Linked DNA regions of Caenorhabditis elegans. The protein of the gene in region 1 interacts with the protein of each later gene in a pairwise test. Each region holds a gene or a part of one and is shown in the gene's direction. Other genes may lie near its edges. The genes, in order: gar-3, vig-1 and frm-1.

Region 1 (12,401 bases):
GACCTCTCAACTAGACATCCAACTTCTTAGATCAACCAAGTGTATGTCAATAGACAAATGGTAGTTAAGAGGGGATAGACAGAAAGTGAAGTGTTATGATTTCTACTCATATGATGTTTTGATTTCTTGAAATTTAAATTCATACAGTATTAATTCCCAATCGAGGTTTTTTGGAAAATTTGAAACAATTTTTCAAACTGTGTCTCAAGCCAGGCCTGTACATAGTTTTAATATGTATATTAGTAGTCAGGCACGCACTGAGAAATACGTGACTGTCTATCGCCTACTTTGTACATTTTCAAATTTGTCATCATTGCAGATTTATAAAAAAGCATTCGAAGTTGACCAATTCTAGATATGCACGTTAATCAGGCTTACGTGTCTGTAAACTAAATAATCAGTTAACAATGTTCCAGGCTTCCTCGTGAGCATCAGGCCGGCTTAGATAACTATGTAGGCAGCGAGGCAGGCATTAGCTATTTTTCAAAACCTTCAAAAACGGAATGCCCCCTGAATTTCTCCGTGAGCTCTCAAACAGCTGTCGGATCATAAAACCTCTAAACCTTTTACGACTGTGAACTCTTACTCATTTGTTCGAAAACTATAAAATGCTTCGATCATTCCATTTTCCCCCCATATTCTTCATATTTTCCCAAAACAAAACAACGCAAAGGAAAGTTGTTGGCACCACTAGAAAGATCAGATCAACCGATAAAAAATGTGTGCTCCTTTTTTTCCCCGCACAGGCTGCTGTTCCCAAGAGTAAATGCTCATTTTGTTTGTACGTCTGCATCTCTTTTTCACTCTTTATTTATTTTAGAAAGTTTATGATGATGATGATGATGATCGGAGAGTCGGGGGTGATATTGATATGAGATATATATGTGAGATTCGGGGCGAGAGAGGCCAACTTCTTATTATATCTCGTGGCTTTTACCCTTGCCGATAGATCGCTTTTCATCAACTTTTTACACTTTTTCTTTGTCAATATAATTGTTTGAATTGTTACTCGAAGATAAAAGAAAACTGTAGATTATTGGAAATTAGAGATATTTTTACAAATTTGTAATTTTTGGCATTCAATTCCGATATACCGTATACTGTTGAGCACACAAACTTTTTAAATTTGTAGGCACAAAAATGCCATCCTGCCTTCAGTGGCAAAATAGAGACTACACGGTAGGCAGGAACGTACACCCAATTTCTGGGGTGTTTATTATTAGTTCACATCGTCCACACATGCTCAAAATATCCAAATAATCGCGAAGCATCCAAAAACGTGTGTGACAAGTGGTCCAAGGACATGCTCTTTTATAAACAAAAACTTCACAACTTGGTGGGAGCAATGCTCACAGACATTCACTACTAACACTTTCGATAGAGAAAAATGAAAGAAAAAGAAGAACAATTGATTATTCTTCCTTTTTGAGCTACTTTTATATTTTTGCTTTGCCATTTTGAAATGAGATCCGCTGAAAATAGTTCAAACTGTAGTTGTTCCAGTTGCTTTGAAGACAACATGTTTTCCCGGTATTGGAAAAAATCACATTTTGATACGATCAGAAATCTATTCATTATCATTCATGAGATCTAATTGTAAGTAGGCTCCTGCCTAGCTGCTTTAAAGGCAAGCTACGCCTACCTTGTGCCTACGAGCGTGTCGAAAGGCATAGTAAACATGAAAATACGCTATTTCTTCTGTCAGATTTTCACCTTATTGTTCTACTTTGACCGCTTATATCTTAATTGCCAGGTATTCTATTCAAAAATGTTTAACTGAAAACAATGTTTTCTAACTCTTTTTCTATGAGCGACTCAACGACCTCAACAGTCCTGGATGATTTTAAAGTAAACAGGTAGGCATTGAGCAAGCCTATAGGATACCTTTCAAACCTTAGAACTCTTTTTATGGTAAACTCGAAGGTTTTGTAGGAAGTGAACATTCGAAGATCTTGAAATGTCGAGGATTTCTAAGAATAAGTTGTTCCAAAAAGAGTTCTCAAACCTTGCGTCCCCAATTTCGGAACCTGGGGGGATTCAGGTAAAACCTCAATATATTTCCTGTTTCTTTTTCCGTTTTTTCCCCTTCTTGTTTCCCGAGAGCCCTTCTACCTTTCTCTCTATATCTCTCTGTCTATCTCAATGTTTCCACTATTCCTGAGAAGAAAGTCAAAACGTGTGGTGCGATGAACCGTCATCTAATAGGTCGCTTGTGCTCCCTTTTTGTCCACTTTTTTGCCTGTTCTCTCTTCATCTCCCGGGGCACTTCTTCGGTTTTTGTTTCTATTCTCCATCACTTCTTCGTTCTTTCTCTCCGCCCCCTTTCGGTTAGGGGAGAGCAGAAAAAGGTCCACTTTTTTATATTAAATGTAATTTTTCTTTTCGAAGCACTCTTCCTTGTTTCAGACAATAAGCAAGAAATACATTTTCTCAAGTTTGTCAAATTTCTTAGGTTATCAATTTGTTTATAGCAATAGTCCATTTTGTAATCTCATTTTAAGAATCTCAAATCTTTCTAAAAATCTAATTTAAATGTGGGTGATGTCACGAAGAAATCTTGTCTCGTCTCCTCCATATTAGAATTGCACTCACGACTCAAATGTAGTAGTTGAAAATCCACTCCTAACTTTTAAAAATTTACTTGATGCCAAATCCATTAAAAAGTGTACGGTATTTGAGAGCTCAATTTTTAATTATTCTTCCAATAATTGATCAATTATATGGAGCATTTTAAGATTTACGATTTTTGAAGTACACAGATTTCCTCTCCATTTCAAACTGCTCAACTAGTCGTAAACTTTAAGTTATGTATTTAATCGTCGGTAAAGAGTTGGAAAAACATAACTCTATTACTCAAAAAAGTTCTCACTGGTCTTAACTGATTTTGGCTAATTTTGGTAAGTTATTGGAAACTCCAGTAAAAATAATTGAACCCCCAAGCAGAAAATACGAATTTCAAATTTTTGAAGTCTAAACTCGTAAATGGTAGCCTTTCGTGGACCATGTAAAGTTTTACCGTATTTCCACTATTGCACCCGGCGGTTTTACTTTGTGAGCCCTTATCTTGGTTATTTTTAAAGATATCAAAAAAAATATTTCACTAGAATATAATAGCACAAGAAATAACAAATATGTAGGTTTTTGACACTTTTTTTTATAGAACAACCAACAACTAAGATATAAGCAGTCAAAGTTAAACAATAGAGTTCAATACTGATAGGAAAAATACGGTAGTAAAATTCTGGATCAAATTTGGAAATGAAAAATTACAGTTAAATGGTAATTTTTAGTATTGCATTGTGCATTATTATTTAATTTTGGAGAAAATTTAATTATTTCATTATTATTTAACAAAAAATTTAAAGTTACAGAAAAACTTACTATTTTCTGAACCTTTTAATAAAAGTTAATCACATAAAACTTAAATTTTTTTTGAAAATTCGAAACGTTTTGAAAAAATCCGTTCGAACGTCTCGCCATCCACACCTCATGCGTCGTTTGTGGTCCAAAGTGCACGACGAGAGACTAGTTTGTTTTTTTAACATTCAAACCACATCATCATTATAATCGTCAAAGACTTATGAGCTCACACGGAATGAAAAAGTTTTGAGCAAGAGCGAAAGAGAAAAGAACATTGGGGAGCCCCACCGGATTGAAACCTGATATTAGTGGTCCTGTTGGGAGAAAAGGAAGGACCAATATACTAGTATATAAATGCCCTTCTTTTTTTCACCCTCTTTTTTACACGAGTTTTTTGTCACCCACACCACTTGAGTTACCGGCCACCGGAAATAGACCTGAAATTCAAATTTATAATCTAATTTCCACAAAATTAATATATGTACATGCTCTTGTACCTTGTGTCTTCAAATTAAATTGTATCCTCCCATATTGTTAGTTCCCAATTTCCAATTCAAAAAATGTCGCCACAACAACATTCTCAACAAAAAAAAAGAAGGTCCTCCTCCACTTGAAGGTCTTCAAAAATTCATATGAGGTCCCCCTGTTAACACCACTTTTCATCTCCTTTTCCCCGGTTTTATGATGTTCCATATTTTCTTTTTCCCTTTCCCAGTTTGTTGTGTGTGTTGCCAAACGAACAACGTTTCTTTTTTACAGGATCACCACAGACGAGAGGATGCAGTCCTCTTCGTTGGGGAATGCTGATGATCCTCGATTCCGGCAGACACACTTATTCCAGATGTTGGTGAAGGTAAGTAGTATACGATATTTGTTTTATCTAATTGAGGGAAAAATTATGATTCCACGGGTCACAAATCACGAAATCATCTCGGAAAAATAAAAAAAAATTAAATAGTAAGAAAATGCAAAACAATAAGTACTTGCATAGTAATTTGCAGACACTGTTTGTAGATACACCTGAAGACTGAAGACTGAAAAATTGGAAAATTCACCAGTACCAAGAGTTTTTAAAGGGGCGCCTTATAAATTATTGGAGAATGAAAGCACATATCCCTTCTCATTTCGACTGATCTGCTAAAAAAAACCCAGCTAAAATTATATTAACATTTTGAAATTATTTTTTGTAAAAGTAAATTAGAAGTTAATCAGATATTTTTCCAAGACACCTTTTGATCATTTTCCAGTATCCCTACAATCCCACCTATCTACTTTTATTATCCGCCAATAAAACAAAAAGATGAAAGCTCATTCCTCATCAGATAATAAAAGAATGCTCGTATTGGACACGTTAACACACAAAAAAAGAACTTCCTATTTACCAACTGCTAGCTCCAAATACTTTTTGTGATGATCAATTAGTGAGATTGGATAGATGAGAGGGTGGAAAAAATAAATAGTTTTGCAGGAAAATAAATGAGGAAAAGATTAGAAAAATAGATTGATGAGAACTGAGGTGGGGATTGAAGGAAACAAATCTTGAGGGGAGGCTTTGGAAATTTTTTTTTCACAGTGATCATATATGGGTGTACCGTGGATTAACTATAAAAATAACAATCAAACTTTTCCAACTCACATTTCATGTTTCAGGTGATAAACACGTCGGCCGAAAATGCGACAAAGACAGCGATTGCGACATCATCCACCTCAACTCCATCCTTTGTGGACACATATTCCACGTCGTCGCTGCTCGGTGAAGAAGGTCGAATGGTTATGATAGTTGTCATCGGTGCAATGTTCGCATTAGTAACCTCACTTGGAAATTTGATGGTGGGTGTAAAAATCAAAACCTATTGGTAATGTTGTGTGAACATAAGATTTTTTGCAGGTAATGGTTAGCTTCAAAATCGACAAGCAACTTCAGACAATTAGTAACTATTTCCTGTTTAGTTTAGCCGTCGCAGATATTGCAATTGGTGAGTGGTTTTTACAATAAATAATCATAGCTGTATGTCGCAAATCGCCAATAACTGATAGAAACGCGACAGTGTTTGGCAAAGAGTGGAGAACAGTATGTGATAAAAATATGTGAGTACGGAAAATTGGTACAGAAAGATACAAAGGTGCTCCAAAGTTCGGCAAGGTGTGTGAAAAAGTTGGGAGTGGGCGACAGAAAATTGAAAGTTTGCGACAAAAAGTGGACAGTGAACAAACAGACCAAAAAGGCGAAATGCGAGAAAATGCGACAGAAAATACTTTCTCGATGCACTGTTCACATTAGTGAAATAAATATCATATTTCAGGTGTCATATCAATACCCATGTTCACATACTACACTGCAATTCAAAAATGGGATCTTGGATACACAATGTGCCAGTTCTGGTTATGCATCGATTATTTAATGAGCAACGCATCCGTCCTGAATCTTCTGCTCATTTCCTTCGATCGATACTTCTCAGTGACACGACCGTTGTCCTACAGGCCTAGAAGAACAACTAAAAAAGCATTGACAATGATTGCATGCACATATATAATATCCTTGATTCTATGGCCTCCATGGATCATTTCATGGCCGTATATCGAAGGAAAATTCACTGCAGAACCTGGAACTTGTGTCGTACAATTCCTGCAGACAAATCCGTATGTAACAGTTGGAACCGCGGTTGCTGCATTTTATCTTCCTGTTACAATTATGTGCATTCTGTACACGAGAGTATATTGGGAAACTCAAAAACGACAAAAAGAGTTTGGAAAGCTTCAAGCTACGCAGGTAATCATTCATTAATTTAAAAAAGTTTCCACTAATCCAACTAATCAGACTTGGGCAAGCGATGTGGTAGATCGGCCATCAACTCAATCATTCAGAAATTCTAAAATGTGGAAAAAAGTTAAAAAGGTTCAAATTTAGAAGCTACCAAATTTTAAACTTTTCTTTTGCATTTATCATCATTTTTCGATTTTCAAATTGTTATGATTTTTTTGAATTCGATTCCCAGACAACTTCTAAGCATGACTATTCTCCTTCAGATTACCCAAGTATTTTTTCCTAAAAAGTGGAGTAGCACCAATGAGGATTTAGTTTTAAATTGCAGAAAAATTGTGAAATAATAATTTAAATAGCAAAGGTTTGAAAACTTGTTAATTGGTCGGAAATATTATTTTTTCAAAATAGTTAAAAGGAAACTAATATTTCACAAAAAATCATATTCGTAAAAGTTTTAGAGGTTTCGACAGCTCTATTGGAAATATTTCATAAAAAACGAACAAGAAAAACTGCAAGAAATAACATTGCTGAAAAAATTTTACTGAAAAATTGTAAAAAAAATCTTCATAATAACCACACTTCGCAGCAATTGAAAATTAATTTTGCCGTCTGAAAATTTGTGCTGAAATGAAGTAAATTTTCTGACAGAAAAACCTTTATTCATAGTTTTTTTCAAGAAATTCAGACTATTATCTATCATTTGAAACAAAATTCCTACTGACGCTACTCCATGGTTAATATATGTTTTACAAAGTCTAATTGATTTTCTTTCCAGTTCTCGCGTCGATCAATGAAGCGGGATGTATCCTCCACTTCAATTATCAAATCAAGTGGTTCAATGAGAAAAAAGAATAATCAAGATGGATACGTTGAAGATAGCGTGACACCTTGTACTTCCTCTCGGAACTCGAAACGAAAATCCTGGCTTAGAAATTGCACTGGAAAATCAAATTCTTCATCTGAAGATAGTTCAGAAGCAGTTGCAATGAACCTGGATGATACTTCATTGAGTTCAAGTCATTTTGCGTTGAGTGGGAGTCGAAGGAGAAACATTTCACCGCCGTGCACACCGATGCCGACTAATTTTGTAAGTACAAAGTTGCAAATTATTACGACTGAATGCCCCGACTACTATTTCTTTTTTTTTTTAATTTTTAAAGTTTGAATTTCCAGGAAGACGAAGAGCAAACTGATGCGGGAGCATCTATGAGAAATGGGTCAGCAAGGTTTCGAAGTCGCCCATCAGACACTGGAAAGAATAACAATTCGGACACCTATACAGTTTTGATTGAGTTAAATGACGAAGGAAGCCGTCCAAGTGTTCGATTAAGTAGCTGTGAACCTTATTTAGAGTGAGTTTTATTGGACAATTTGTACAGACTTTTTGAAGTCAGAAAAAATGTGGAGTGGTTTTTTACTGGATTCGGAAATTTGAAAATCTTTAAATTGGTTTTTCAATTGTTCTTTTTGGCTGCTCCCAATTGGCTCTGTGGGTTATGAGGAATTTGAAATTTCGGGGTACTTTATTTAATTTGTTCTACTTCACCAAATTGGTAAGAAACAAATAACTATTTTGCATTATCATGTTTACACAATCAAAAATTTTTGCAAGCTCATATTCGATATGGTTTATACCGTCGAGCTGAAAAAAAAATCAAAACTATTTGAAATACACCTAGATTGAGGCGTAACTATTGTTGTTTTTTATCTGTTGTTTCGAAATTAATTCCGAAGCTCAGAATGTCAGTAACGGTATCGAACATTTGTATCAATTGGCAAATTATCTGAAACGAAGTATAGTGAAAATTTCCCATAAAAATAAAAAATAAGCTTATTCAGAATTTGGTGGTGTTTTTCCACTTTTTTTGTGTACTGCCCGGACATTTTCTGTATTTCTTTTTACACTTTTACTTTTACTAGTATGAAACAAAACAATGATCTGATTTCCAAGATTTTCCAAATTGTAGAGCTCTTGATCTTTACAGTGACGAGTTCTGACAATGTTTCACACGTTGCTCCATTGCTAAACCTTAACAGTTTTCCATTCTTCATCAATTCCATTTTCAGCGAACCGATTTCCACACGGAATCGCTCAAAAAGTGATTGTAATAGTGAGATTGACGAGCGTCGACACAGTCTTCTCAACAAGCAATCACCATTCAAAAATGGAAGAATTCTTAAAAACTTCAGTTCTCAAGAGCGCAAAAGTGAGAAAGAGCAACGGAAGAATGAAAGGAAGCAAGAGAGCAAAGCAGCTAAAACACTTTCCGCCATTTTGTGCGCTTTCATCGCCACATGGACACCATATAACTGTGAGTTCAAGAGATCAAAGGATTAAATTCATTATTAATGCATTTCAGTGATCGTTTGCTGGGAAGCGTTTTTTCCGAACACTGTTCCAAATGTTTTATGGACGTTTAGTTATTTCCTTTGTTACATCAACTCGACTATCAATCCACTTTGTTATGCTCTTTGTAATGCAAGGTAAGGATCACTGGGAGAATTAAAAAGAACTTGTTAGAGGCATAGCACTAGTGGGAATTTGCCTCAATTTTAAATTATAGTAGTTATGAAAAAGACGAAAAGCACAAAAAAATCCAAGAAAGTTTAATGCAAAAACTCAGAACAGCCAAGCTCTGGGCCGAACCTATTAATGGTTTTTCTTGTGTCTGGTTATTTTTTGAATGTTTATTAAATTCTGGTTATGAAATTTGAAAATGAAAATGACGACTTCAAGCACTTTAGTTTAAAATCATAAATAATGCGGTATGAGGCTCGTACGCAACGGCCAAATCTTCTTCCACAAAACTACCCATTATGCCAAAACTTTCCAGATTCCGTCACACATACATGCGAATTCTCCGTTGCAAATTTAAAGCGGAACGTCCCACAATGAATCAGGGATATGTCCGACGCAACTAGAGACTCAATCAATCAGTACAAAAATGTGCACAACTCCCTTTGCCAAGATCTCGAAACACTTGAAACAGTATATTAGATGCATTTGAAAACCGGTCCAACATCATCATTTTCTAATTTTTTTCAACTTTTTTCTTAACTTTTTTCAAATTAGTTCGAAATATTTGGTCTTGTTTATCAACATTCTTCTCACCGAATCATTGCTCATTCATTGTTGACGGGTTTTTTAATGTAAAGAAACTCTTTATTTTTATTATGTTCTATTTTTTAATGAGTCACAATTATTTAAAATCTGAAAAAAAAATCCTGGAAGAGAAACTGCATTCTTATATTCAAGAAATTTACTCAATTTATGCTTCGGAACAATTATAGCAAGACCAAAAATGAAAACGCAATGTTTTTTATCATAATTCTGTTTGAGAACATCTGTATTAAGAAGTCGCCCATGTCAAAGTCTGTGGATCAAACCTCTCCGTCTCTTTAATAAGATCCCAGTCATGAGAACATCCACGAATTGCATAGATTGCTTCATTCGTAGCATGAAGCTTAAAATACTTTCTTCCCGTATTCATCGATGGCTCATCTTTCCATGTATTTGTCAATGGATCGTAACTTTGAAAGGTTTTTAATGTGTTGCAAGGGGTGTTCCATCCACCAGCCACATAGATTCTTCCACGGAATACACATGCACCAAAACCTGCACGTCCAACCATATTACCACAAACCTCAAACTTGTCTTTCGAATCTGATAATTTCTCAATAGTCTCTTCATAATCTTTTCCATTGAAGCCGCCAAGCACTGAACCATGATTAATTAAGAGAAGGTTGAATTCTTGCTAGAACTTACCAAAAAGTTGTCCATAAAATGATACAACTGATGCATCGGCGCGACGGTTATTTAATGATGGGCCTGTGGTCCAGTCTCCTCCAGTTTTAATATCATAAATCTCAACTGAACTCATATATGTCGCATCGTATCCTCCCACTGCGTAAATTGCGTCCTCATGAATACATGCAGATGTCCGAGTTCGTCCATGCATTAGCCTTGTACACTGTAAAGCTTTTTGCTCATTAAATTCACTAGCTAAATAAACAAACCTCTACACGAATACCCTTCTCTTTATCAAACATCTCTACACGATTCAAATATGTTCCATTATTCATTCCTCCGATTATAAAAACTTTCGTTGAACTGGATACCACTGCGTAATGGGATTTTGGATTAGGAAGTCTTCCAATAGGCATGAAGCTCATTGTATCAGGTTTGAAGTATCCAATGAAAAGTGGCTCGCGGGAATTTTGTTTTCGATCTGAAAAAGAGAGAAGATAGACAATTAACTTGCGCTATTTCCATCCGGATGCGCGCACGGCGATTCTCAAACGGCCGTGATACGCGGATCGTGCGGTCTTCTATCACGATCGGCTCATTGTGGCCACTGAAGTATTTTGTGCAAATTGCAAATTAACTATATACATAGTATGATATAACCTGACCGCTGAAGCATTTTGTGCATATTGCAAATTAACTATATACATATGTAGTATGATATAACATTCAAAGCTTCAGCGATGCCTCCTTGAAAACTTGCGGTACAAGATATCCTAATTACAACGAAACATCTAAATTTGTCCTTTAGCAATGGATTTGAAAATTCCAGTATATTTTAAATTGTGAAATATACAGAAGTTAGCTAGCGATGTATGCATAATGTCTCACAATCAGTGTCAGAATCAGACATTTTGTTATTAACATACAAAGAGAAATCTTACCTGCTACCAAAATTGGATCCATATTCAGCACACCATCATCAACCATAAAAATTTGTTCTTTGGAATTCAAAGTATTAATATAGTTCTTCAATTTTGTATCAGCAACTTCCATCAATGAAGTAATATCATGAATCATTGTGATGCATTTTAAATTATCTTTTCCTTCGTATAATTCAAAACTTAATATTCCAAAAAACATTTGCAAAGTTTGAATCAGATTTTCGGTAGTGTTTCTGAACTGATTTCTCATTTCTATTGCTTTTGGATGCTGTGTTTCTTCTGATTGTGAGTCACTGTGGTAATCAAACTCTGATGCACCAGATTCTCGATCTGATTCTGAATCTGAAAATATCTGAAATCGAAAAATTATGAACATATAAATAAATTAGCATTGTCTCACGTGATTCGTCATTTTTTCGACACCAATAATTCCTTGCCTGTGACGAGGAATGCCAAGAGAAGTTATCTGAAAATCAAACGTTTGAGAAAAAATTAGTTTAACAAAACTAAAAGTGAAAAGGAAAACTACAGAATAAGGATAAAGCCTACGGTACAAGCTTTCTTCTTTTATTCTACTTTGATCTATGCTGCGTTGCTTTATAAGTGTGTATTTACTCAACAACTCAAAAAAATTTCAAAGCATTACTGAGGAATCTTTTAGCGCCGAGAAAGCGGAGATGACAAATCTTGCTAACATTAAATTTATATAGAATTTTGTATTCATTTCATGATTCATCGAGTTTGTCTGATTATGTATCTTCTCGTTTAGTGAAGAGCAATAAAAACAGTTTGTTATTTGCTTTTATGATGCTATAATTTCAAAATAACGTAGTAAAGTATTCAAGAACTATTTGGAAATTTCTAATTTGCATCCAAAACTATATCAATTTTGACTGACAGACGCCAAAAAAAACTAATCTTCTGTGACTTTATTTTATTTTGATTCCATTTCAATTGTTTGTATTAATAATAAACATTGTAATTCTTTGAACCCGCAGAGATGCTCAAAATTAACCAAAAAAAATCGATTTTTTTTGAAAACTAGTCAACTTACCAAAACTTTGACTGAAAAATTTTAAAACCGTAAAACTCTTTACAAATAGAGCGTGTTGTTTTGACTGCCAAAAGTTATTAACGTTAGACGAAATCCCGAGAATCCACTTTTAAGGTAAAATGTTTTTTACCTTAAAAGAGAATAAAAACTGAAAAAAAATGAGTAAATCAAATAATGGTCCGATAATATAGAATCGGAATACTCTTTGCTGAAAGAACCTGTATTTTTATCGAAAGAAAAATGAGGAATCGTATTATCAATGTGATACTGTAATTGACACATAGAAATTCCTATCCAGTTTTAGAAATGGTATTTCATATTGAAAGTTATTAGGAAATTATTTTTTATGTCATCTTGACTGAAGACTTCACAGAGGCACAAGTCTTCCTAGATCTCAGAAATATATCCTGAAAAAGCGATTTAAAGCTGAAGGTGGAATGAAGAGTGGAATGAGTGAAAAGGCGTTTTCATGACGTCACACGTAGAATTGATTTCCACTCAGTTAACTCACAAAAAGTCGTTCAATTTTTGATA
Region 2 (9,129 bases), on another chromosome or scaffold:
AATATTTTCGGTTTTTTGGACCGAAAATCGAGAATTTTCAATTAAAAAAAAGGGTTTTTTTTTTCAATTTACTCTGAAAAAATATTGTAAAATTGAAAAAAAAATTAGGTTTTTTTTGGATTTTCCTTTTTTATGTTATCTAAAAGTGTCAATTTCCGAAATTTCGTTGAAAAACCACTAAAAATCGGCTTTTTCCGATTTTTTGTTAACCGAAATTTTTTTAACCGGAAATTTCGATCTACATCTACCTAAAAATGTAAATTATTTTAAAAAACTTGCTGAATTTTGTCGAAAAACTCCGATAATTTGAAAAAAAAAACTAAATTTTAGTTTAAAAAAAACTGGTAATTTTCGATATTTTCCAAAAAAAAAAACCCAAAAAATCCGCAAAAAATCGCAAAATTCCACATTTATCAAATTTTCAGCATGGACGACACTCACAGCACGGCGAGCAGCTCAAAATCCGACGATAAAATGCTCAATGGCTCGGCGCCGGCTCACTCACTGTTGGATGCTCCAATTGATGAAAAACCGAAGAATCTTCCCGTTGTCGACGACGAGGGATATATTGTTCGAACGACGACAACTTCTGAAAATAATGCCGACTCATCAAATCCAACAGCATGGTCCAGTTGTTCTAGTGATGAGGAGGAGGACGAGGATGAGCTTCAAAAGTCGAGAATACGGAAAATGACGATTTCCGATCGACCTGTACATATTAATGCGTCGGTTGATGAATTGAGAGATGCTATTGGAAGTATTACGTTGACGAGGAGTACCACTTTTGAAAGGGTTCGTTTTTAAGGGGAAAAAATCAATTAAAAAACGAAGAAATTGGTCTGCTAGACTACAAACTACACAACTGGATGAGTCTGCGAGACTAGTATAAACTAGAAAAAAATTAGAGAAACCAACAAAAAAATTACAGTCGGAAATGGACAATTATGTACTATTAAAGTTGGGTCTGCTAAATCTAGTTTTGTAGTTTGTAGTCTAGCAGACCATATTTCTTCAAACCCACTTGGGTCTGCTAAATCGAAAATTGTAGTTTGTAGCCTAGCAGACCCAAAATTTTCAATTTTCGCAAATTGGAAACTTGATGAGTTTTTCATTTTTTCAGTGTGGAAATGAATATTTTTCGAATAGAAATTTTAAAAATTCAAGTGTTTTGCGATTTTTAAGTGGAAAATTTTGCAATTTTTGTGTTTTAAGACAAAAGTGCGTATTTTCATATAAAATTCTGAAAAAATCAGAACTTTCGGCGGAAAATTGATCCAATTTTGAAATTTTTGAGTGAATTAGCATTGTATTCCAAAAAAAAAAAACTAATAAAAAATAAAAATTTTAAGCTGACAACAAACAGTTTTTAATATTGGTCTGCTAAATCGAAAATTTTAGTTTGTAGTCTAGCAGACCCAAACTTTTGTGTTTTTAGATTAAAAAACACAGTTTCAAAGAAAAAATGCCTGTTTTTACCAAGTTTCTTGGCTTTTCAGCTCAAATTTCCCGGTTTTAAATGCGAATTTCATAGATTTCTCAACAAAAAAATTCAAAATTCCATTAAAAATGGCTGAAACCTCAAAATTTTGACAATTTGTAGGGTCTGCTAAATCGAAAATTGTAGTTTGTAGCCTAGCAGACCCAAATTATTGTGTTTTTGGAGTAAAAAAGCACGTTTTTACTAATTTTCTTGAAATTTTCAGCTCAAATTTCCGGTTTTTGAACCTATTTTTGTAGTTTGTAGTTGAAATCTTTCAGGATCCCTGGACGATTGGCGGAACAAAAGCTCCACTGATGTTCTCTCAGTCGATGAATGTCTCTTCCCTTCGGCAACCTCTACGCTCACATCACACTGCTGACGGACGGTTTAGGACTAATTTTAGTGGTAATTTAATATTCTTTCTTCGATATTTTAAACTTTTCTAGTAGAATTTCCTAAATTTGAAAAGAAATCCTAATTCCAGAATCCGAGGATCCTCCTGCCTTCTCCGTTTCCATGGGTCATAACCAGGCGATGGCGGCCGGAATCGCACGAGCTCGGCCCCGAAGCAACACTCCCACCACGAGCCAAATGATGAGCCGGAAGGACTCGGCGAGCAGCTTTATGGATCCGTGGAGTAGTACTTTCAATTTGGCGCCCAGTGAATCGAATCATTCCCTTGGAGAATCCACGTTTAATTTGTCACAGTCTACCGGGAATTTATTGCAGGTAAGGCTTCAGGCTTCAGGCTTAAGATTCAGGGTTCAAGAAACTCGAAAATGTTGATTTTTTTTTCAAATTTCAGGCCACAATATCCGAACAGCGAATTCCGCTAGCCATGGCCATCAACGAGCACGTGCATGTTTGGTTCAAAAAAGGAGCCGAAGAGTTCATTCAGCGCACTTTCGGCACCGTAATGATATCATTTCCAACGTCATCAATAACTCTTCTCACGTCCATCCAACACGAAATTGAGCCACTAGCATTCCGGCTCTCAAATGCTAAATTCATTAAATCAGTGCTCCCCAACAAGCAACTTATCGATGAGAATGTGAGCAAAAAGGACGACGAGATGTGCATTTTCTACTTTAACAAGACCCATCTTGCCACGTGGCTTCAAGCACAGAAGCTCGCGAAGCCGGATGCGGCATTTGTGAACGCGGAGGTCGCGCGGTTCGAAATGGAGCCGACGGCACCGTGTAATATGGTTCCGCCGCTATTCCTGACGTCGTACTGGAAATTCGAACCTGGACACACTGGTTCGTCGAGAAATCTTCTGTGTTTTTGAGAAAATTTGAATTTTTAATATTAATTGCGAAAAATTGATGGGTCTGCTAATTAAGAGTTTGTAGTTTGTAGTCTAGCAGACCAAAATTTCCTAAAAAGCGCAGTAATTGATTGGTCTGCTAAATAAGACTTTGTAGTTTGTAGTCTAGCAGACCAAAATTTATTAAAAACTGCAGAAAATTGATGGGTCTGCTAATTAAGAGTTTGTAGTTTGTAGTCTAGCAGACCAAAATTTATTAAAAACTGCAGAAAATTGATAGGTCTGCTAAATTTGATTTTGTAGTTTGTAGTGTAGCAGACCAAAATTTATTAAAAACTGCAGAAAATTGATGGGTCTGCTAATTAAGAGTTTGTAGTTTGTAGTCTAGCAGACCAAAATTTATTAAAAACTGCAGAAAATTGATAGGTCTGCTAAATTTGATTTTGTAGTTTGTAGTGTAGCAGACCCAAATTTTTTATTGAAATTGGCAAAATTGCTGAGTCTGCTAAATAAAATTGAGTTTTTTGTAGTACTTTTTAAATGCAAACGCCAAAAATAAAGCCTAATAATAAAAATCCGCATTTCTTTTCAGATCTCCGTGTCGACTATCGCCTCAACTCAGAATCTTCCATCTCGGCGCCACTTCTCAACGTGAATTTCAGCACAAATTTGACGGGAAGCGTGGATTCTGTGATGTGTGAGCCAGAAGCCAAATGGGTGGCTGGAAATCCGTCACTCGGCTGGAATTTGCTGGAAATTTCAAGAAATGGAGATGTGCACGGATCGCTGAAAGCAAGGATATTTATGAAGAATTCTGGGGTCGGGCTTTTTAATTGCTTTAAAATAAAAAATATATAATTTTCCAGGACGAAGTAAGCTTGGAAATGCTCGATCGGAAGCCGGCGCAGGTCTTCGTGCAATTTCAGGTACTAAAAACTGAAATTTAAGCTCTTAATTTATCTTTTTCAGTGCCTGGAAGCCAATCTATCTGGAGTGGACATTTCCCTAGTGCAATCGGATATTTATCACCTGTCTATGATTCGTAAAAAGGTGCTCGCTGGTAAATATTTTTGTGATCCCGAGCTGCGGAAATAGAGAAGATGAAGAGCTTTTTAATTTGATTTTTGTTTTAATTTTTCTGTGTAAATATAGCATAATTCTCGCGAAATCTGTGATTTTAACAAACTTTCAACTTCTAGTTTTCCAATTTTTCACCACCAAACGAGTTTTTCCACTATTATTCGTTATCCCCCGCTGTAATAAATACTTTTTCCCGGCATTTTTACTTTTTTTACACACATTTTGGGCTGGAAATGTCATAAATTTCTTTTCAAATACTTTAAGACAACAAAAACAATTGGAAAACAAGTTTTCCCCCAACCAAAAATTGATTGAAAATGGCCGAGGACTAGTTTTCGATTTCAAACTGCCGCCCATTTCGGCGGTCGCATTTGGCTGCGTAGCGGCTCGCAAACGCCAGTTTACACTATTGTGATACGCAGCCAAACCTTCACCTGTCCGATTTGAACAGTTTTTCCGATTTTTTTTGACCGTTTTCGCCGGTTTTTTGTAATTTTTTGGGTTGCTAGCAGTAAATCACCGATTTTTGATCAAAATTGCACTGAAAAATGTTTATTTTATTCCGAAATAGTGGATTTTGAGCAATTGTTGATTTTCTGACTTTTGATTCGATTTCTTTCTGGAACATTCAAAAATTCCCTTAAGAAAATGCAATTTGCTTTTTTTATTTTTTGATTTTAGTTGTGAAAAGTGCTTAACTGATTTAAAATATCGCAACGGTGTCTGGCTAATTATACTCTTTTCTTAAATATCGATTTTTGTTTGAAAATTTGAAATCTAAACTAACGTTCTTGCAGGTATCCCCATATTATGGGTTATTGATTAACTTGGCATTGAAATTATTGAATTGAACAGAAGCTTCCTGCACTTGGAATCTTATCTTCATCGAATCAACACAAACAGCAAAAATGAGCACTGAATACGGTTGCCAGGTCACCAACAAGTTCGGTCTTCCATCCGACGACGACGATGGTGAGTGGTTGATGATGATGATCGCCGGATGATTATCTTATCTTCCCGATGGGATATTGCGCAATATTCATATGCGATATACTCCGCCCAGAAGACATTATAAAAAATCGATAATTTGCAGAGTATGACGACCCAAGAGAGCTCATCCAAAAGGTGTCTCAAATCGCCGCCAAGAAGAAGGAGGAAAAGTCTGTGAAGCCCGCCCAGCCGGTCAAGCCAGCCGCTGCTCCAGTTGGTAAGAATTGGCATTCCTATTCTTAAATTAATTAAACATTATTTCAGCCGCCACCAAAACCGACGGTGCTGCTGGACGTGGACGCGGAGGACGTGGTCGCGGACGCGGGGGAGCCGGCCGTCCACGTGACGGAGAACGTGTCTCCAACGAGAACGGTGATCGTCCACAAGGCGAGAACCGTCGTGGAGGACCCCGCAGAGGCGGTGAGCGCGGTGCTGCTCGTCCAGCTGGGTAAGAAACGCTTAAATTTTTAATTTTTTTTTTCATTTTACTGAACTTTGTATTTTAGACGTGGAGGCCGCGGAGGATTCACTCGCGAGAACAGAGAAGGAGAGGAGCCAAAGCAAGAGGTCTCTTTCGAAGACGGACAAGATACCCGTGCCCCAAGACGTCGTGGAGGATTCACCCTTGGAGGTGGACCATCTGGCGGACGTGGAGGAGGCCGTGGTGGACGTGGGCGTCAATTCGATCGTCAATCCGGATCCGACCGTACCGGAGTTCGCTCATTCGACAAGAAGGACGGACACGGAAAGGGCAACTGGGGAGACCAGAAGGACGAGTTGGCTGGAGAAACCGAGAACATTGCTCCAGAGGGCGCTGAGAGCACCGAGCCAGAGGTTCCACGTGAGAAGACCGCTGAGGAGCTCGCCTACGAGGCTGAGTTGGCTGTTCTTGCCAAGCAAAAGACTCTTAAGGAGTTCAAGGCTGCGGCTAAGGTGAGTCGTATAAAATATTAGTTTTGGAATTTATTTTTTTTTTTGTTTCAGGCTGACGCTCCAAAGTTCAACACCAGAAAGGCCGGAGAGGGAGCCGCCGATACTTTTGGCAAGCTCGTTCCAATCAAGAAGGAGGTCATCCCAGATCGTGAGGAAGACGAGGTCGTCGTAATCCACAAGGCTCCAAGAAAGCAAGTGCTCGACATTTCGATCACTTTCCGCAACGATCGTCCAGAACGCGAGCGCAACGACCGTTCTGAGAGGCCGCAACGTGGAGGACCAAGAGGAGGTGGACGCGGTGGAGGCCGTGGAGGACAACGTCAAGGAGGTCATGGAGGACGCAACAACACTCCATTCAACGCTTCTGACGATGCTTTCCCAGCTCTCGGTGCCAAGTAATTCCCCCCCCCCCACTCAACGACCTTCAGCCAACCAACCAATTCGCCCGCCCTCATTCAAATGCTCTGTTCTTCTCTCCATCTTGTTTTCTTCAAAATTCTCCTCTTTTCAATATCTTTGCCTGTGCCCATCTACCCCACAAATTGTTCGTTTCCAAAATGCCTGTTTCTTATTTTTCTTTTTTTTCTAGTTCCCCCATTTAGCTTGTTGTTGTTATCACCTGCCTTATCGATCTCTCTTCTGATGAGTTGCCCTCGATTTGGTTTGCTTGTTATCTCCCGTTTTTTCTTTAATTTTTAAGCCCTTTGAATCCCTTGATCTTCCACATACACCCACCAAGACGACCTCTTCTTTACCAAATATTTGACACAACAAAAGGTCTCAATTGTGTCAAGGATCAACGAACTAGTACTAGGAAACTCAATTTGTGCCCCTTCCAACCACCACCCCATTGCGCCCAGGTTTCGTTTTAATTGGAGTTTGTTGTTAACAAGATTTGATAAAGCATCATTTTTGTGTTAAACACCCCAATCATTCTATATCACACACACACACAAACACCCATTTTTCTTCTTTTTGCCTCCACACACCCCCCCCCCCCCCCCCCACCCAACTGTATCCGTATTTTGTAATAAAACGGTCTAAACCAACCACAGGGGCGTGGCCTGACACATGCCATTTCTAGGCCGCGAGCCGAGTGCTCTGATTCTCTGCCGCCTCTTTTAGAGAGCCGCGACGTCTTCTTCAGCGGGAGAGAGGGAGCACCCCCCCCCCTCCCCATTGCTCGGCAAAAACTTTTGCTCTCCTTTCACTTCTTATTGATTTCCCTTCTGTTAGCCGCCTAAATTAGAATTTTTAATTCTTCAGATTCTCAATAGAGCGAGCTTGCGTTCGAAATAATTTAATTTTTAATTAAATCTTCCTGCGACTCTTCTCTCTTTGGAAATTGCTATTTCGCAAGTTTAGTAACGATTTTATGACAGCAGCGGCGTCCGAATTTGAAATTGAATTAGGTCCCCTGAGAAGCTTTTTAGACTATAAACTACAATTCTGAAATGGCAGACCAATGAGAATTTGGTCTGCTAGACTACAAACTAGAGTCTGTGTTTAGCAGACCCATGAGCTTTTGAAGAGTTTTGGTCTGCTAGGCTACAAACTACAAGTCGTATTTAGCAGACCCAAATTATTAGAGTTTCGTATGGGTCTGCTGGACTACAAACTACAATTATTTAACAGACCAATCTTAAATTAAAAATTGACTGAATTTAGGGATTTTTTTTTCAGTTTTTAGCTCTCAAGACACTGTTTACAGCAGAAGAGAAGTACAATTCATTTTATTTTTAAAAAAAATGCTCAAAAATGGTTTTTCCCTTAAATTGGTCTGCTAGACTACAAACTACACAAAAGAATTAGACCCAAGCTGACGTGAGTTTTGGCCGATTTTTGAAAGTTTTATCATGTTTTGAATGAATTGTGCTGCTGTGTAACAGATAATTTTTCAAATATTCAGTTTTTGTCAACATTTTGCGAAAATTAGAGCTTCGAAATGGGCCCCCCAAATTGGTCTGCTAGACTACAAACTACATTTTGTATTTAGCAGACCAAAATCTTGAAGACCCCGCGAAAAGTTGTATTTTTTCTCCAATTTCCCCTTCCTTTTCCTAATTGAATTCCGTGCAATTCAGTGCCCCCCACCCGAAGCTTCTTCTCTTGTCTGACCTAATTTGATCTACCGGGATATCGGAGTGTCGTAGTGCTGCCACGTCATTTTTTTCTGTGTCTCCTTAAATACATACTAATTTTCAATTCTAGAGAATAGGAAATTTATGTAGACTATTAATATTAATGTTTAAATAAATTTATGAGGAGGGTTTTGTGTTTTGGGTCTGCTAGGCTACAAACTACGAAAATTTGTTTAGCAGACCCATTTTTTTTCGATTTTTCGATTTTTTTTTTACTTAAAACTACACTTTGTCTCGTTTTTTAGCGATAATTAAAAAGTTCTGACTCAATTTTCAAATTTCCGGGGTACTGTAGCGCCACAAGTACGCAAACACCGAGCATCTTACGACAAAATGCACAGAAACTTAAAATTGTCTGAAAAAGATGGACCAGGGGGTAAAAAAAGGCCCTGAGTTTGAATTTCATAATGAAAAATTGCTAAAATTCATAGAATTCAAGTCATTTTTTAGTTTCTAGTTATCAATTTTAAAAAGTATACGTTTTTTCTAAAATTCCGCTGTAAACTACAAACTACATTTTGCCACGTCATCGTTTTATGCCCCATATCCACGTATTCATTAGAAATTCTGTAATTCCTGAATTCATTTTGGCATGCATTCTATCTATAAAAAAGAAGATCGAGAAGAAGAAGAAAATGAAAAAATTCGGCGTCTTCATGTGCTCCTTAATCTATTCCAACATTTTTTTTTTGGTCTGCCAGACTACAAACTACAGATTTAGAACTAGCAGACCTAAGCTTCTTGCTCAAATTTGAAAATTTCCGAAAAAAATTGCAATTGTTTTTCCAAATTTCCCGTTTTTCGAGAATTTGAACAATTTTTCCCGCGTTTTCTGCACAATTTTGACGTTTTTGGGTTACTGTAGCGCCAAAAGTACGCAAACACCGAGTCTCTCACGCGAAAATGCACAGAATCTCAAAATCATCGGAAAAAACAGTCCCAGGGGTGAAATGAGGCGCTGAACTTGAATTTGACAGTTAAAATTATCAAAAAATACCTGAAAACATTGAAAATTCAATTTTTTTAGTTTTTTCTTTCAAAATTTCTTTTTCGGAAGATATATTCGCCTGGAAATAAATTATAGGGCTATATATTAAATTTCTAACATTTTTCTTATGTTTCCTGCTCAAATTTGTCTTTTGGGGGGTACTGTAGCCCCAAAAGTCCGCAAACACCGCACACCTTACGCGAAAATGCACAGAATCTCAAAATCCTCTGAAAAAAGTGTTCTAGGGGTG
Region 3 (9,850 bases), on another chromosome or scaffold:
TTGCTTTGGATTTTCTCAAAGCGCTCATATTTTTCAACATTTTGGCAATTTGTCAAAACTTCGACCGGAAATTACGAAAATCTAAAATTTTTAGAGTGTTTTATAATAATATTTGGTCGTTTTGGATCATTATAAGTGTATTTAGACAAAATCCCCACTGGCGCTACTCCACCTTTAAATGTTCACGAATATTTTTGAGAGGGCTCCATTTTTACTTTCAGTGCCGAAAATAATGCTTATTCACTAAATTTTTGTCAATCTAATGACTCTAAATCATAGTATGCAGATTACATTAAAACATCTCGTTCAATTTTTTGAAAACTGTACGAAATCCTTGTCCGCTTTCGTCGTGCCACTTTCCAAAGTCGTTCTGTTTTATTTTTAACGAAGTAAGCGCAAGAAATAATTTCGGTTGTTTTCAGTTATTTTCATCAAAAATTCTACTAGTAACTGCAAAATTTTAAAAAATTATTGGCAGAAAAAAAACACTTCCTTGTTTTCCTCGCTATCTTTTAAGTGTGTCTGCCTTCCCTTTTCCACTTTACAAATTTTGAAATTTAACTCTCAATCCCTACCCTTCAAAAAAAGCCTCCAAAATGGCAAACAAAAAAAGTTACAAGTTGCGCTGGCAGTTAGTCCCCTCTCGTTTTCTCTAATTCTATTTCAATATCATACTCTTTGACAATGTTCAATTTTTTGCTTTCCTCCCATTTCAATTCACAATACTTGTAATATTTATGTTTGCGCTCTCTTTCTCTTGTAGTTTGAAGACATCGATATGTCAATAGCTCTTACTTAGTCACTTTGGTTTCAAAATTTTTCGGGCGATTGGAGAATACCCCAGTTAATAGTTGAAGTTGGATAGTTTTACATTTTTCACTAGTTTAGTAATAAGTATTTCCTCATAAAAATAATTCAAAAAGTGATGTTTTAGTTACTATTGGAGATTTTTCTGGAATTGCAATCACGTATGATCAGAAAATTTTGGAGCTCTAACCAAAATTGTTATTTTTACATTTCTGCCAACCGTCTGTTTTCAATAAATGCATACGTGTCATCATCATGAAATTGAATATTCATAAAGTTTCGAGACCCGCCGCCGGTTTTCACATATTTCCAAACATACATTCAAATTCATGACAGTTGCTTGTGCATGAATGTGAATAGCAGAGTATTATTACTTGCAAATATTGTATTCAAATCTAAAACTATTTTTCTTTTGAATAATAACGGGGGATAAGGGTGAGTCTTAAAAAAATGAATTTTAAACCCATTGAAAAGAGTATACGTGATTTTTGATCGTATTATACAGAAAGTATTGGCAAAATGCCAAAATTTTGACAAATCTGATCTTTTTAGAAAATTAAAGCAATCTCGCATGTTCGCACCCCTACAATGTTTTAATACAAATAATTTAATAAAAATTACAGTATAAAAAATGTAAAAAAAAACAATTGGTTTTAAGCACCTCCAAAATTTTGAGTGGCAAAACTGAGCAATTCACACTTTTTGACACAAAATAAAAAATTTTCAAAAAATTTTGAAAAGTTTTGTTGTGATATTTGGTCATTTTGACTACATAGGAATACTTTTAAGCATTTTCCCCACTGGAACTACTCCACCTTAAGATTTTTTTTGTTAAGATTTTTGATGAATATCTAATACGTTTTTTAAATGTTTCCTTTTAAGATATTTGGATAACATAACATTTTATGCAGTGACATCTCGTCGACCTTAAGAATGCAACAATTTTCGCCCACTTTTTTGCCCCTCATCAGCATCTTCAATTCATTCCGCATCAGTACTCTCTATTGCAGCTTCCGGCCTCTACTGCCGTTGACGGTGTTGTTTTTGTTTGCACCCTCTCGCTTCTCGCTTCCATCGTACATACACATAAATACATACACTTTCCCTTTCATTTTCCCACCCATTTTTCCCCATTTTCCATGATACGCTGCGAATCATTTTTTCGATTCGTTTTTTGTCGAAATATTTGGTTAGCATTTAGTACTGATTTCCAGAAATTGTTCCATTTTTCATTATTTTGCTGAAATTCCTGAATGATTCATCCGTGTTTTTTCTTGATGTTTCAAATAGAAAACAATCATCAAACCCCCCATTAAAATCCATCCATTTGCACCGCCTATCTCCTCCTCCTATCACACACAGTTTTCATTTTATTCTATCATTCCGCAACCATTCGTGTTGGTTTCCATTCTGATTCCTTCTTTAACTAAACAGGATATTCTCTGAAATTCGAGAATTGTCCCCTGATTCATTTTGGCAAGAATCTCCACAATGGAGAGTACGGAAACCTTAGGAAGCGGTGAGTAGTTTATGTAAATATGCATCTTAGAAATTGATGGGTGGTCTAGAACTAGTTTGTGACTGGTTCTTGGGAAAAACGGGAACGGAGTAGACTAACTTTTCACGCCTTTTTAGTGAAACTTGAGAAGACATCTAGGCAAACAGTGGTAAGTCCCGGCCTGGCGCGGTTCTGATAGTGAGTCCACATTTCTGATAACATTTACTTATCGCAGTAAAACTTATATCCGACACTAATTAGAGTACACGTGGAACGTTGTAAGTGGTGTTTCAATGACATGAAGCTGTCTGAGTTAATATCAATATACACTTGAAATACTTTAGTTGTGCTTGACTTTGGTCTCTCCCTAGTCGAGAATTTTCGCAACTAGTCAAAAATGAAATCGTCTATCGCAACATGTATAGTTGATAAATATTAACACAAATAACCAAAGATTAAGTTTCGAATGTTGTGACTCATGCTTTCTCCTTTATTTTCCTCTCCACTACTGAATTTCTACACATTTTTCGAACAAAAAAGAACGTTCACTAATCCTTTTGGCCTTCTCTTCCTGCATCTCTCTTTCTCCCTTACTCCACTATTCTCTCGTTTCGTCGCTAGCAAAAATTACCCTCAAACTCCGCCCAAATATTGGAAACTACCAGTCATTCTGTCCGCTTTTTTCCATCATTGTCACTGTTTTCCGTGTGTGTCGTTGAGCGCTGGTGCCCTTGGTCGATAGATTGGATGAATGAAGGAGTGAGGGCGCCAACAAATGTCTGCGCATCTGGAAGGTCTTGCACTATTTCTCAATTTTTATGCTCTTTGTGAGGGACGGACATACGGTGACCAAGGGCATAGTGTCAGAACCAAGAGGAACCATCTGTTTGGAGATGTTTTGAAATTTTGTTTTGGCAATGCTGGGCATTTTTCACTTCTGGTAACGGTTTTGCATTGGGTAGTTTGAAGTTCGGAGCAGTGGTTGGTGGCAATTACAACTGGGCCGTTCAAATTTTCGATAATTCGATAATTTCCTCAATTTTTGAGATTTGGCAGTTGTTATCTATTGCCAAATATTTTTAATTTCCAAAGGTCAAACAAGGAGGGGCGATGTTGACTGTCTCTAAAGCTAGTCATAACTAGGTCTGTGAAACAGCGGAAGGAAACTTTCCAAAAAATTAATTGCCTCCAATAATTCTCTCATCGGCAACATTGTCAATCTACAAGCTGGTTCAACAATAAAAACTGTTTGTTCTCTCTCTTCTTTGCTATTGCGAAAAATTGTCTCATTGCAACACCTCTCTCGCCTTCATCTTTTCTGCCTCCGAATTCCCACTACTGTGATTGACTGAGATGAAAAGAATAGAATGAAACAGTGTAATAAACTAAACGTTTTTGTTTTTTTTTTCTGCTGTTTTGTGGCCAACACAACGCCTGTTGGTTTCGTCTTCTTCATCCTGATGGCGGTGGCGAGAATAAGAGAGGAGAGCAACAAATAGCACAGAAATAGCAACAGTTGTGTGTGCACCTCTGCTATCAATTGAAGCTCTCCGTAAGCATTATTTTTTGCTGTTTTGATATATTGGAATTCTTTTGAAACTATGTGAACAATTTTTTATTGTGATATTTGCCAATAATGTGTATTTTGGGTCTTGTAGCGACCAACATGACTGACAATGAGAAAATTACTCTATCGAAAACTTCTAATTAAAAATACTAATCGTGATTTCACTTTATCAAGTTCACAAGCTTTTTAGAAACGTGTAATAAACGCCTCAAGAATGTATTCGGTTGGGTCTCGCCACGATAAAAAATTGTGGTAGCAATTTTCTATTTATTCGGGATTTCGTGAGCAATTTTTGTAATCATCACTTTAATTTTTTCTCGATGTTTTCCTATTTTTTCCTGAACTAAAAAATACGAATTACTTATTGAAAAGCTAACGAAAATCAAGGAAAATCGTTAAAAACTAATAAATTCCTGAAAAAAATAAAAATTTCCACCATAAACGTTTTCGTCGCGGCGAGACCCACTCGAACATAACTATGCGCCTTTAAGTTTACTGTAGACAAATTTTGTCCGTTTTTTCGATGTTTTCCTCTATTTTTTTCTATTTTCCTACCATTTATTGTATTTTAATTAAAAAGTAATTAAAAAGCTAAAAAATTAACTTATTCCCTGCAAACTTTCGACACGAAATCTTCATTTCTCAAAAATTAGTGTTATTCGCGCTGCGAATCCACATTTTCCACTTTTTCACGTTCTCTGGCATTTATAAATTTGTTTTTGTTTTTCAGAAGATAAAAACGTAAAAATTCACGTTATAAATTCCCATTAAAATCGTCAAAGCCAAAATTTTGAATTCGTATTTATTTCTAGTAAAAAAAAAGTATTCTTCAACTTTGAATGTAAATTTAGTTAACTCTTCCACTGTTTTTCTCCAATACTCTTTCTTTTTTCATTTCCACCTTCAAATGATCCTAATATTTCATGTTTTCTCACCACAATCTGCGGGTACCGGAGAAAAGGTGTAATTTTTCTTTATTGTCCTTCTCTACTATGCCTCCCAGAATTTATTGCGTTTTTTATGCCGGGCATTGGCTACTTTTTCTCCCAACAACACCAATTCATCCCTTCTGTCTTTTTTTTTCGCAGAAAAACAGAACAAAATGTGGCATTTCGAATAGAGCGCGTTTGCATTACTCCCCCCCCTCCTCCCTGTCGGCCGGGCAATTCAAATTTTAACACTTTCTTTTGCTCTATAAACTTTTAAAACTTCTATTTTCAATGAAAGTTGCAGTTTTTTTTCTAATTTTTATTAATTTCCTCCACATTTCAGAGCAAATGGGTACCGATAGAGATCCCGGAGACCAGAAACACCCAACGACTAGCCAGCAGCCACGAGATTCGAAAATGCAGTTGGCAAAAGTTCTTCTTCCCGACGGAGTTCAAAAGGAGTTTGAGGTTAATGTAAGTTTTTGAAGAATTTCACCGGAAAAACTGCTAAATTCTAAATTTTTACAGAAAAACTCGGAAGGAGAAGCACTTTTCCGACAAGTGACACGAGATCTATCGATTGAGGAACGCGAATACTTCTCGCTGTGCTTCTACGACAAAGATGAGGGAACACGACATTGGCTATATAATGATAAGAATATTGCGAAACAGATTAAAGGTAAAAATGAGAAAAAAAAGAAAATTTTGGTTAAAAATGTGGATTTTCTTCACAAAAAGCTAATTTCCCCCGCTTTTTCAAAAAAAAAAAACTGCCTTGAAATTTTTGGAAAGCTGTTTCAAGTAAATAAAAATATTTCTCTTATTCGGAAAAGAAATTGAATCGATTTCATGTCCAAAGTTGTATTAATTTTCCTTTTTTTTTGTAAATTCCCTGATGAATTACAAGAATCTAGGAATATTATCCTTAAAAATATAATAAAAAACTCTAACCCGCGGCCACGTGTCGATTTACGCAGCTCGTGTATTCCTCGAAGAAAAATAGTTTTTCTACATTTTTCGCAAAGTTTTCTCAAATCTTCTGTGTATTTCAAAGAAAATCGAAAAATCTGATAATTTTAATTTTGAAATCGAGTCTTTTTTAAAAGTTTACTGATTTTTTATAGAGCGAAAGCGGAAAATATTGAAAGTTGGAATTTTTGTTTCAAAAAAAAAAATTAGTCTGAAAAACATCGAAATCTCGAACAATTTTCAACCAAAAACTGCGTAAATCAACACATGGCCGTGTAAGAGGTTTCCCGCGGCCACCTATTTCATTTTCTTTTTTAAATCAATTTTTCAACCAACTGTCAAATTTTGCAGGTCTTCCTTGGGAATTCTCGTTCGAGGTCAAATTCTACCCGACCACACCTACAACGATCGTCGACGATCACGCTCGCTACTACGTCTTCCTTCAACTCAGACGTGATCTCCTCACCGGACGTCTTCCAGCTACTGCCGACACACATTCTCTTCTCGGATCGTTTGTCGCTCAAATCGAGTTCGGTGATGCTCCAGCAGAGATGACGGATGCCTACGAGCAGTTCATTGTGGCGTCCAAGCTGGTGCCATCAGCACAAGCGAATCCGGAAACATACAAGAAGATTGTCGATTTGCACAGAGAGATGCGCGGACAGACGCCTTCTGAAGCTGAAAATCAATTTTTGGATCACTGCAAGCACCTGGCTCTCTACGGAATCCACCTTTTCAAGGCAATCTCCGTATGTTTTTCGACAAAAAAAGGTTCCTGCTCGAGTACTCCACTAGGAAAATATTTTTTCTTAAATTAACATCTAAACTTCTATCATTTTCTTCTTTTAGTGCTCATTCTTCAAGTCCTTAATTTTGAAGAAATATTTTTAGTGGTTTATGAAAAAAATAGTAGTATTTACTTTTGTCTAAAATAATTAATTTGTTAAGTATTCTCTTTCAATTTATCAGCTTGGTGATTTTTAAGCTAATTTTGAAATTTCCGCCAATTTCTTGAGGGTGATCAAATTTTATTCACTGAAAAGTGTTTGGCAAATTGAAAAACGGTGTTTTAACTTAAAAATAAAAAGAAAATCAGGAAAACTGGTAAATTTAGCCAGTCAACGCATTGGATGTTTGAATCGAATTATTATTAAATTTGAATGAAAATTTGTCATATTCGGTCATTAGGGTTTTCTGTCACTTAAAGCACAAAATGTTTTGACTCTGTTCCACCTGTAAAGGAGTAAAAACTATTCGAAAATGCCCAAATTAGCTTTGTTTTTATAATTATAAAATATCTTTCAGGATAAGGACAAGAAGCCTGTGGACGTTGGAATCGGTGCCGCCGGAATAAACATTTACCAAGACGAGCAAAAGACGCATTCCTTCAGCTGGCAGAATATTATCAAAATCGGATATCGTCGTACTTACTTCTCGATAAAGCTCAAGGCAGGGACTGTCGAGAAGAATGAGAAGACATTGTACTTCAAGTTGCCAAACCATGTCGCCGCAAAGAGGACTTGGAAGTGTGCAGTCGAACATCACACTTTCTTTAGGTAATTTTTGAGAATAACTTATCTCAAAAACTGAATTTCTAAAAGAGAAGTTTAAAAAATACGTGAAGATTGCCTAAAATTATCTAAAAATTTCGGATTTTTCATCTTGCAGGAGTCGAAAAATAATTTTTGTTCTAATTTTCGAATTCCTGCTCGATGGATCAATTTTTTTTCAACTGTTTAACTGAAATTGATTTTTGTTTTGTTGAATTGTCGAACATGCTTTTCCAAAATTACGATTAAATAATTATCTCTGTCGTTTAAATTTAATTTCGACGGGTCTGAAAAAATTATTTCTTAAAATTAAATAAAATCTTTAATTTCAGACTGATCCAACCTGAAGACAAGACACATAAATCATTCTTCAACTTTGGCTCCCAGCGGTTCCGCTATCAAGGACGCACTCAATTCCAGACAAAGATTGCCTCGCAGATGTTTGATAAACCATCGACAGTGGACAGAGCGCCATCTGCAATGTCTCAACCAATAGCAAGTGAGTTTTTGATTACAATAGTTGAAATACATTATTAATGAATTTACAGCAGCCGAGAATCAGAAACTTCAAACACTCAATCTCACGGATTCGGAATTGGAGCAGCGCCAATTTGAGGTTAGTTTAATTGGTTTCCAGTGTGCTTTTCTATGTTTTTGTTCTAATATTATTTTGCATGAAACGCTTTTTAGAGCGCTTTTTTGTGTTTTCTATCGCTCACATCACAATAACTGCTTTTCAAATTTTGGAGAAAAACCACCGAAAACCCCTCAAGCACAAACACAAAATTCACATGTTTCTTCTTTCTACTCAAAAATTTTCAAACTTTTCCGCTAAAACGTCAACTTTTTTCTTCATAGTTCTTCCCCTTATTCTTCTAAAGAACTGTACAATTTTCAATATATAGCAATGTCCCCTCTTCTATTTCTGCGTGAACTTTTCTCTCATTTTGTTGTAATTCTGAAAATTCGAGAGTTTTCAGTTTTAAATATATGCATACCTATACAGTTTCCAGCTAAATGACACTACCACAGTTCATTATGATTGTAACGGCGTGGAGAGGGGGTTAAGATAGCTCCCCTCGTTCAATTATGTGCCCGATGGTGTTTTCTCTCCAAAATTCAATTGTTTCTTTCTCTATCTCTAACCCCTCTCTCTCTCCGCACTCCCGTTAGAGAGTTTCCTGCTAATCGCCATCGTCATCGTCATAAGGTCTTCTGGAGACCTCGTTGTAGTAACATAGTATCGGAGAAGTCAACATCATCGTCATCGTGTGTGTATATTTGCTCTCTTCTGTTTTGAGGCTATTCGGACATCCAGGTTCTTCCTGTCTTGATCGTCTAGCTTTTTTGTAGTTTGTAGTTTAGTTGTGCACCACAAAACCTCGGTTTAGTTTGCGTCTGGTAGTGGCTATTTGTGTGTATCGATCTCTGACCTTCCTATATTTTCAGAGATACCGACGCGCTTTGACACCGAAGTCCTACACATCATCGAGACAAGACGATGACGCGGTATCAACTGCCACATTTGCCAAGTATTCTAGGCCTTCGACTCTTCTTGTTGTTTCCACTTCTGGTCATCACCAGCAAAGTCCTCACGAGTTGTCGTATTCACCACGCGGCGATGATTCCTCTAACTACTCGTCGGCAGCCTACTATATGTCTGAAAGATCGTCGTTGAGAACTCCGTCATCCGCCTATTATCCTCCATCCGAATATACGAGTCCAACTAGTCCTGTTTATTTTGAAGGACAACATCATGGCGAGTATCATGTTCAGATGAGGCAAACAGCTTCAACTTCAGCTACTGGACCATCGAACTCGGGTGCCCGCAGAAATCTGTTTGGTCGGGCGTCGGACGCAAGAAGTTCTCAAGCGTCTAGGGATAGTGTTCGTCTAGTTTCTTTCCATGAACCTGTAGACCCAAATGAGCCGATTCCAAATACTTATCCGTACAGTGAGCTCCCGCAGATTCCGATTGAAAGAATTGTGCATGTTTATCACGAAGGCCACTATGATCGACTGAGTCCTCGACGCCAACAACGTCCAGAACTGCCTTACGGTTTCGGAAACTATACCCCTCGAAATGGAGTTAGTCATGTTGACAACTTGCAGCCTGATGGAGAAATGGATCAACAACCGATTAGATTCTATGTCGATGTTAGACATTCTGGAGCTAGTCGGCGGAATCTTGCAAAGCGATTGAGTCATCCAGGAAAGGAGGACATCAAGGAACAAATAGATCCAAAGGATTACTACTTCTCAGCTTCTTTGGCTAGTGACCCAATTCATCGAACTGAGTTAAGCAGAGAAGTTCAGCCAGCCAATATTCAGCAGTATACACGCCGGTATCATCATGGGGATTCGATTCACAAACCTGATACTCCCCAATATCGTTTAATTACGCATGTTCATCCACTAGCTGTAACAAATAGAGATGGACGAGATGGTCAGTCTTCATCGAATTTGAATGCAACGATTTCTCAGCGGGAACAAGTTGTGTCAACAAAAGTTCGTCGAGAATCTCCTGATG

The links.
Region 2: the proteins of gar-3 (region 1) and vig-1 interact in a two-hybrid assay, tested with the Caenorhabditis elegans proteins (one study listed by BioGRID).
Region 3: the proteins of gar-3 (region 1) and frm-1 interact in a two-hybrid assay, tested with the Caenorhabditis elegans proteins (one study listed by BioGRID).

The regions. Positions count from the first base shown.
Region 1 is NC_003283.11:14,561,713-14,574,113, reverse strand, and holds gar-3 (Muscarinic acetylcholine receptor gar-3), read left to right. Parts: upstream 1-4,138; coding exon 4,139-4,213; intron 4,214-5,010; coding exon 5,011-5,190; intron 5,191-5,248; coding exon 5,249-5,336; intron 5,337-5,663; coding exon 5,664-6,130; intron 6,131-6,178; coding exon 6,179-6,256; intron 6,257-6,899; coding exon 6,900-7,211; intron 7,212-7,297; coding exon 7,298-7,476; intron 7,477-8,191; coding exon 8,192-8,436; intron 8,437-8,484; coding exon 8,485-8,608; intron 8,609-8,958; coding exon 8,959-9,046; 3' UTR 9,047-9,294; downstream 9,295-12,401. Other genes in the region: C53A5.11 (Kelch-like protein 10), read right to left, coding at 9,475-9,842, 9,891-10,095, 10,142-10,353, 10,814-11,165, 11,214-11,225. UniProt on the Caenorhabditis elegans protein: The muscarinic acetylcholine receptor mediates various cellular responses, including inhibition of adenylate cyclase, breakdown of phosphoinositides and modulation of potassium channels through the action of G proteins.
Region 2 is NC_003280.10:1,316,413-1,325,541, forward strand, and holds vig-1 (Hyaluronan/mRNA-binding protein domain-containing protein), read left to right. Parts: upstream 1-4,624; 5' UTR 4,625-4,735; coding exon 4,736-4,799; intron 4,800-4,920; coding exon 4,921-5,034; intron 5,035-5,081; coding exon 5,082-5,265; intron 5,266-5,323; coding exon 5,324-5,750; intron 5,751-5,801; coding exon 5,802-6,149; 3' UTR 6,150-6,661; downstream 6,662-9,129. Other genes in the region: fcho-1 (FCH domain only protein 2), read left to right, coding at 426-792, 1,759-1,885, 1,965-2,209, 2,286-2,739, 3,340-3,566, 3,614-3,673, 3,717-3,842.
Region 3 is NC_003279.8:14,892,662-14,902,511, reverse strand, and holds the start of frm-1 (Moesin/ezrin/radixin homolog 1), read left to right. Parts: upstream 1-5,149; coding exon 5,150-5,275; intron 5,276-5,329; coding exon 5,330-5,480; intron 5,481-5,727; exon of another isoform or gene 5,728-5,949; intron 5,950-6,121; coding exon 6,122-6,519; intron 6,520-7,075; coding exon 7,076-7,326; intron 7,327-7,652; coding exon 7,653-7,819; intron 7,820-7,868; coding exon 7,869-7,936; intron 7,937-8,577; exon of another isoform or gene 8,578-8,682; intron 8,683-8,769; coding exon 8,770-9,850.